Linked DNA regions of Canis lupus familiaris. Each later gene encodes a partner of the first gene's protein in a complex. Links are inferred from orthologs where the notes say so. Each region holds a gene or a part of one and is shown on either strand. Other genes may lie near its edges. The genes, in order: KPNB1 and PTHLH.

Evidence for each region.
Region 2: the proteins of KPNB1 (region 1) and PTHLH are in contact, whole or in part, in a crystal structure (PDB 1M5N), measured with the Homo sapiens proteins. The link is inferred for Canis lupus familiaris from reciprocal best matches to the Homo sapiens genes KPNB1 and PTHLH. Residues at the interface, in NP_002256.2 of Homo sapiens: Val55, Tyr104, Pro106, Gln111, Glu152, Tyr156, Gln159, Asn196, Leu199, Asn200, Gln239, Glu274, Gln278, Glu281, Asp288, Ile295, Ser298, Glu299, Asp339, Asp340, Trp342, Val350, Met353, Glu395, Trp430, Arg434, Glu437, Asn469, Trp472; in NP_945316.1 of Homo sapiens: Tyr103, Thr105, Gln106, Glu107, Thr108, Asn109, Lys110, Val111, Glu112, Thr113, Tyr114, Lys120, Thr121, Pro122, Gly123, Lys124, Lys125, Lys126, Lys127, Lys129.

The regions. Positions count from the first base shown.
Region 1 is NC_049230.1:23,964,470-23,968,287, forward strand, and holds part of KPNB1 (importin subunit beta-1), read left to right. Parts: intron 1-515; coding exon 516-605; intron 606-963; coding exon 964-1,074; intron 1,075-1,864; coding exon 1,865-1,966; intron 1,967-3,759; coding exon 3,760-3,818.
Region 2 is NC_049248.1:26,878,310-26,882,685, forward strand, and holds the start of PTHLH (parathyroid hormone-related protein), read right to left. Parts: upstream 3,111-4,376; 5' UTR 2,879-3,110; intron 1-2,878. UniProt on the Homo sapiens protein: Neuroendocrine peptide which is a critical regulator of cellular and organ growth, development, migration, differentiation and survival and of epithelial calcium ion transport.

The DNA.
Region 1 (3,818 bases):
GAAATGCTGGGAATCAGGTGACATCAGAAATAAGGTTTGACTAATACTGTTCTTCATAAAAGAGAGGAAAATTGTACTTAGTTAACATAATGGAAGTTACGTCCTCTGAAAAGATTTAAGGAAGAAATGGTTTTTGATCACCCTTGCTACTTAATTGCTGTAAGTTATACAAGTGATTGTTTTTCATTGTAGCCATTGGAATAGGTTTACTGTTGCTGTACTTAAACCTGGATCCTCCAAACAGATGGGACTAACATCTAGTCTGAATAGCATTCCTGAGTTTAGCCCTCCACAGGTTCCAGAGGCACCTTTAAAGAGAAAAGAAAAATAAACAAGGATGGTGAAAAAAATTTTAAGAGATTAATTTTAAAGAAATGTTGACATAACCCAAATGTACCTCAGTTGGCCCTTTAGATTACTGACCCATTTGTGTGATGTAGTTCTCTTTGTCAGACTACATTATTAATCCTTTTTTATTTTATTTATTTTTATTTTTTTATTTTTTTTTGTAAAAGGTACGAGTGGCTGCCTTACAGAATCTGGTAAAGATAATGTCATTGTATTATCAGTATATGGAGACGTATATGGGTCCTGCTCTTTTTGCTGTAAGTATTTCTATTTTATGTATGTTAGCATGTAGCTAGTTGCAAAGCCCATCATTCTTGATGTTTTGTCATTTCTGTAATTTTTTACTTAGTATTACGAAACCAAGGAAATTCCTTGAGTCTGAGTGTTATGTTTAAGCCATCAGTAATGTGCCAAGAAGACTTGGGCTTCCTTTGTGGTGGGGAAGAGTATATTTTTAAAATCTATTTTCTGTTTCTACCTTTCATTCAGACCTAGCTTTCATAAATGTACATTTTTGACACTTGAATGTCTGTGGTTGGAAGTGCAGGTCTAACTTGAACCAGCACTTACTTGGTGTCTGGTATGTCATTTTTTTTTTTTTCTTTCCCTCGAAAGATCACAATTGAAGCAATGAAAAGTGACATTGATGAAGTGGCCCTACAAGGGATAGAATTCTGGTCCAATGTGTGTGATGAGGAAATGGACTTGGCCATTGAGGCTTCCGAGGTGAGCCTGGGAGAGAGTTGGTGCAGCAGGAGAATTATTTGTCTGACATAGCTCCCTTTTGGGTATTCAGCTCCTCTGAGAAAGCTTTATTCTGCATGGGCTTAGAGGGCATCTCCATTTGTAGAGCTTTTGCTTTCTCTGCTAGCCAGAGCCCCTCAGGAGGGAGACAGACCCATAATGAGGCATTTCATGCTTTACGGATCAGTCAGACGTGATTTATTATAAATGTTGATGTTACTACCATGAACACAAGGGGGCAGCAGGCAGTCACAATTTAACAAGGTGACGTCCAACGCTGAGTTATTTCCTTTTGGAAGTCCTCATGCAAGCATGGGATGCATAATTGACAGCTTACTAACTCTGGTGAAGGAATTCATTATAGACAAAGGGGCTAGGTCTGCACTTTGTAATCTTTGAACTCAAGCTTTTTTTCCAGCCTTAACCGTCTTGCACACTTTTAAGAACCAGTTTTATTTTTGGCATCATTACGTAAACTTAGTACATCTCTTGATCCAAAGGTTAGTTAGATGACAGCTTCTTAATATGAATCGAGCTTGTGAAAAAGGAATGTAGTTCTTAAGGTTGCCTTGGTCCTTTAAGGTAGAAGATATGTATGGCCTAAAAGAATCCCATTGAAGTAGACCAAAGAAATGAGCGCCTCCAAAGATCACAGCAAATGTTACATTTGCTCTGTGTATTTCTGTACAAACCCCTGGGCAGCTCTCATTGTATGCCTCTAGTACCAGCCTGTTTGCTGCTGTCCAGAATTTGCTTTTATGTTTCTCCTCAGGCAGCAGAACAAGGACGACCCCCTGAGCACACCAGCAAGTTTTATGCCAAGGGAGCACTACAGTACCTGGTGCCAATCCTCACACAGACACTAACTAAACAGGTGAGTTACCTCACAAATCTAGCCAGGGTAAGCCATGAGATATTATTGAGAGTTAGTTTGCTGTGGAACAATTTCCATGAAGGAACTCAGCAACTCTTTAGCTGGTTCATGTTTTGTTATAGATGACTGGGAAGAGCCGAGCTGGATCTCTTAAGATCCTCTAGGCTCTGGGTTGTTTGCGAAGGAGAGCTGGGTCTGGATGTTTCAGCCTTAGTTGTGAACAAGCTACACACGCTGATTCCTGAGTGCTGTACCATGTCCAAAATAATGCAGGAGACATGTGCTATAAAAGTTGGAGTAAAGAACGGTTAGCAAGAGGTATGTGGTAGTTTTAGGCCACTCAAGTATCTGCTAATATTTGGATTATTTTCAAGAGTTCACAGTACGTATATACATTTAAAATCTTGATGAGGTTAGAGAAGAATTATTCTGGAGGTGCCTGAGTGGCTCAGTCTGTTAAGCATTGAACTCTTGGTTTTTGGCTCCGGTCATGATCTCAGAGTCGTGAGATCAAGCCCGCGTCAGGCTCCATACTTGGTGTGGAACCTGCTTGAGATTACCCCACCCCCACCCCCCGTCCCCCTGCACATGGGTATGCGCTGTCTCAAAAACAAAACCAAACCAAAAAAAAAAAAGAGTTACTCTGATTCTTCTGTGATCGTTAACATCAATGAGATTCAGGACAAAATAAAAATAACAGGACTTCATGAAGATTTGAGTCTAATGGGTAAATATAGAAATTCTTTTATGTGAAGTATATCTTGGTTGTCATTCTCTTTTGACTTTAGGCATCAGAGTTTTCCTTGGTATGGTGTTCGGAAAGATTCTTCGGTATAACAATCTCAAAAGATATAAGTAAAGATGTATTTGGTTTGAAATGGACTGGGTGTCCTCTCATTTTCATATCCTGGTTCAGTTTTACAGTTATTTCTTGTGTCTTTCAATCTCAGTATCTTCACTTTTGTATTGTGGTTTTCGTATTTGGAAACAAATCGTTCTTTAGGTATGTAATATTCTGAAGCGGCATAAGGCAACCTGCTTTTTTTTTTTTTTTTAAAGATTTTATTCATTCATGAGAGAGACAGACAGAGACACAAGGAGAGGGAGAAGCAGGCTCCCCAAGGGGAGCCTGCTGCAGGACTCAATCCCAGGACCCTGGGATAACGACCTGAGCCAAAGGCAGACGCTCAACCACTGAGCCACTCAGGCACCCCAAGGCAGCCTACTTTTGAATTACTAGGTAATACGGGTAGCCACAATAAGGAAGATGAACCTTGAGTTCTAGTTTCAGGGGAGATCTGAATGGAATCTTTTTTTCCGTTTAACTTCCTGTTGAACTGTAATAAGTCACTAGCACACCAGGAGCCAGGAGCCACCTCATGCCTTCATCTTCCTCATTCATTCCCTCCCCTTTACCACCACAGATTATTTTATTGATTTTGGACTTCATAGAACTGGAATCATACAGCATATCTTCCTGTTCTGCCTTTCGCTTTCTATATGTTCAAGTTTCATCCTTCTTGTTGCACATAGTGAACTTGGTCCATCTCGTTGTATAGTACTAAGTAGGACTTGCCTCCGTATGCATCTTACTTACCAAAGGCTATGCTGTGATGAATCTTTGTGGAAGAAATTAAAATATAAGGGTTTTATATTATATTTATATCCCTCAAACTTAAGTTCCAATAACATTTGGGAGTAGTCAGAAGACCTTTTGAGTTAGTAATTCTCTTTTTTTGAATTACAGTGATTATTTGAACATAAATTTAACTAGTGCCAAACTCTCTTGTCAGGATGAGAATGATGATGACGATGACTGGAACCCCTGCAAAGCAGCAGGCGTCTGCCTCAT
Region 2 (4,376 bases), on another chromosome or scaffold:
AAATTTAAAGATTTGCTTCAGGAGACCTTTTGGGAGATGTGATTAAGGATCATGGGAAAAGCATGCAGGGAGTTTTGGATTGAAAAATATTTAAACCTACTGAATCCTCATATCATATATTCCACTGAACTCTATTATTCATTCTCATGTCTTTAAAAATAAACAAGCACACAATACATACAGAAGGTGAGTTGTACTATGTGTTTGGAGTCTAGCATGTAGGCCTTGTTCTCAAGGTAATCTAAAGTAAACCTACTCGAGACCTGCGAAGACATATAGTCAATCCCACTGAAAGCACTTTTCCCTAAAACCTCACATCCCCTTTAATTCACAAAAGAGACTTGGCATCTTTACTACCCTCTTAGAATAAAAAAAAAGGAAAGATAAAGCACTCTTACTAAAGTTATCGAGAGTAGCCTGCCTTGTTACAGAATCCTTTTTCCCCTGTACCTGAGGAAATGAGGGATTTTGGTTCAGAATCAATCATAAACTTGTGGCAAAACAATGTCATCCTGGAGATTGGAAGGTGAGTCCTGCCTCCCAGGCCATTATTACAGGGACTAGACCCCACCTCTACTATGCATGCTTGCACATTGGAGATAGGTGCCCTTTCTCCAGTTGTAAGATAAATATTTAATTCTGTAAGGATAGGAGTCTTTAGGTTTGCACAATGATACATAGCTTTAAGTTAGTGGAAAATAATTTTGGAAAGCAGATCTTAGTTTCCATGTCATAAAAATATTTCTTTCTAGTATTTTGTCCTGACAGCTCAAACAAATATAATATGAGAATACTACCTGTGGCTTATTTTTTTTTCTTTTGGTTTCTAATGCTGAATTTATAATCTTCTCTTACTTTGTGCGACCACACATATTTAAAATTCCTGTATCAATTTGATTCACTGCCACATTTCCTTCTGTGTAGAAAAGGAAGTTACAGACCTCAAATGGCTTTTACATTGTCTGTGTGATAAGTATACTAAACATATGGGATATCAGATGCCTCATTTCAAGGCTGCTCTTGACATTGCTGCTGTTAATGATTCTTCCATTTCCATTCCATACCAAAAATCTATTGAAAGGGTGAAGGAAAGTGGTGAAAACAGGCACTCCACAGATGCCAGCAAGTTTCCCAATTGGCTAGGATCACTACATCATTCCAAAAGGGATGACTGGGGGTAGGAGTTGGGGTGGGGGGTAGAAATAAAAACAAATTTTGGCAGACCCAAGTTTAGAAGAAAAACAATACTTTCACCGAATTTAGCCTCTGCTCTCTGTCATAGAAAATTATAATAAATACAAGAGAATTGCATTCAATTTTGGTCAAGTATTATTCTTGGAATATGCATTAGTCAGAATTGGCCTCATTAGGAGGGCACTTTTTGAACAGCTATGTAGTGGTTCACAAAGCATGCAGACTCCTGAGAGGGTGTGATTCGAAGTTTAACAAGCTCATTTCAAGCTTGATAACATTTACATTTCAAACAAGGATTCAAACCAGGGCTTTGCTGCTTTACATGACCAGAAGTAGAACAGAGTACATTGCCACAGAAGCATGCAGTGACATTATCAGAATTGCCAGAGCCCACTGATTACAAACCTATCTATTGACACCACAACTAGTATACTAGGCTGCTTTTTTTTCTCTTCTTCGTTAGTCAACAACTGAACCTATAAATGCATTGAATTCACATATCAATCTACAGTGAAGCACATGTTTTTATTTTGCTTCCCTATTTATAATCTTTATTTTGAAAACAACAATTGTGGTTTGGATTTACTATGAGGCTGAATGTTACACATGTAAAGGCTCATAATATTTTTTTCCGGAGGCTCTTAAATCATTTTTAGCTATATTATCTGATTTGCCATCATCACATCAGTGTAAAAGTAGATACAGCATACATTTCCAGATATATTTAATGGATGAAGAAAAGGAAAGGAAGAAGATTAAACAGTTTGCACACGCTTACAGTAAAATTTAGGGGTATTTGGTTGAGGTAAAACTGGACTGCGGAGTAGATCTAAAGAGGCATAGAAGAAAATCTTATCTACTTTTCACTCAGGGCAGAAAGACCGAGCAAACTAAACCTCTACATATCCTGTATCTTGATACGAATGCAAATTCAGAAATTTGGTAACCCAGAGCAAAGAAGCCAATAGCTTAGAAATATCAAATCTATTTACCTGGAGGAGGTGCTCTGGGAAGGATATCGCAGCCTCAACCTAAGAGCAGAGATATTTCTTTCCAGCTGGTTTGGGCTTCTCCCTAAAAACACTGTTGTTGCCCTTTACTTCTACAAAGTAAACAAAGAAACATTCGCACTAGGTGCTGCCAAACTGTTTAGATCTTCAAAACTGGTGCTGATTTCAACCCTAGCACGGAGGTACTTTCCTCTCTGACTCCTTATAGAAGAAAGCTTGACCTGGGTGAAATCACTAGAGCTTCTGTTGAGATTTGAGGAGCATACATACATACATAAGCTTGCTTAAAGCTTTTTGGGTTCCTCTGAGGGAGTAAATTATCAGTGAAACTCGGTTCCTTTACTGGTGCTGATTTACATAGCCTTTCTCACAGAATTCTAGCATTCTCGCCTCTGGCCCAAGTCAGGAAATGCCCAGGTGCGTGTAACTCAGCACTAAAATTAACATCCATGAAGCTTTTTAGACCTCACATATTCGAGTTCAATTTCATTTTGGTAATTAGGTTTCAGGCAGGTTTTTATTTCTTTTGAACCGAGTCATCTAGCCCCGAGTTTTCATCAAAGAATCTTGGTTAACTTTGATTTTTAATTCTCAGACACCCAACTCGTTGAACCACCCATCCTGACTCAATACCCTGCTATTTTATTCCATATAAGGCCTTGAAATGTACTCACCTTACTCAGTGAAAATCCCTCTGGGATGGGAAGCTGCCAGCACATTAGAAATGTGATCTAGAGTCGCTCTGCCCGAGGTTGGTCATATCCAGGTTAGAAGATATCAGGTATAAAATGAGAAAAAAATATTATCTCCCAGCACTTATCAGACCATCTTCTTATAAGACTTTTTCTTGTTTAGTTTTTTAGTTCATTTCTTGGTTTTTCTGGAAAAAATGCTGCAGTTATGTTGCTCCCGCAGCCAAAAATCTGCACTTAATTGGGCACATAAAAAAATAGCAGACAGGAAGTCTATTTCCTCACAGAGAGATATTGTGGTTTATGGACTCTGCTTTCGTACTGCAAAGCCAGTGCATTATTTTATTTTTTAATACACTCCTGGTAAGATGTCTCTGGCAACCCAAAAGCTGTTTAAGTGCCCACCAGAATCAGTATCAGCCCAGGTAGAGCTACTTGATTACCAAATATTAGTTTACTCTGGGTTTGATTTTGAATCAGTCTCAGTTCTTGCATTTTTATGGATGCTAGAGAAATCGAGGATTTCATATTTGTGTATGCACTAAGAGAGTTATACATATTTGTGAGAGAGACCGCAGCATCCCACAAGCAGGGCTGCATTGACTCTCCATGAGTTCTGGGAAAACATTTAAGTTGCCTGTGTAACTTCCGTGGCACACACCCTCAATCCACTCCCCTTGGGAGCCAGAGAGCTTCCTGAGGTCTCTCAGGTTACAAAGGGGAAGGAAGCCTTTATCAGAAGTTTGAAGATTCTTACTTTTCAAGTTGTCTTGCCATCTCCTCAGCCCTATCCTTTACATTGTTCTTTAGTCATGTTAACCTCCTGTATTTGACTCATAATAATTACATTTCTGAGAATACTGAAGATCTCAGAGTTTTAGAGTCCAGCTTCCCCTTGACAGACGAGGAAAGTGAGACAAAAAGGAGTTCATGATTTTCTTTTTTTCCAAAGAGACATGAGACTCCAGTAGCAGAGACAGGACTAAAACCAGATTTTCCCCCTGACACCACGCTGCCTTTCTGCGTGAGTGGAGAAACAAAAATGAAACTTATGTTCTCTTGTCACTTGGTTTAAGCCATAAGACAGGGTACATTTGGTTCTAGGCACTTTCTATTTACTTGTCATGGGCACAATGCCTCATAATTGGGAAGAATTATATAAGCCCCAATTCTTTCCTAGGGCATGTGAGAAACTGCCATTTGTTTTTAGCAACCTAGTGTCATAAAGTTAGTGTGGGCCTAATCCCACCTAAAAGTTAAATGAGAGCTTTTGTGTAATTGCCTTGCCTTTTAATTCAGACTAAGCCACACGTAATCAAGTCTTTCCCTAATACCCTGGCTTTATAGAAACCCAAATCCATTGGTTTGTACAGGTATCACTGGCCTCAGACTGCAATTCTTTAATGCTCCTGGTCAACTCAATCCCTTGAGGGGATTTATGTCATGCTGGTGTTTTCACGTAGTTCTTTGTCTGGGACTA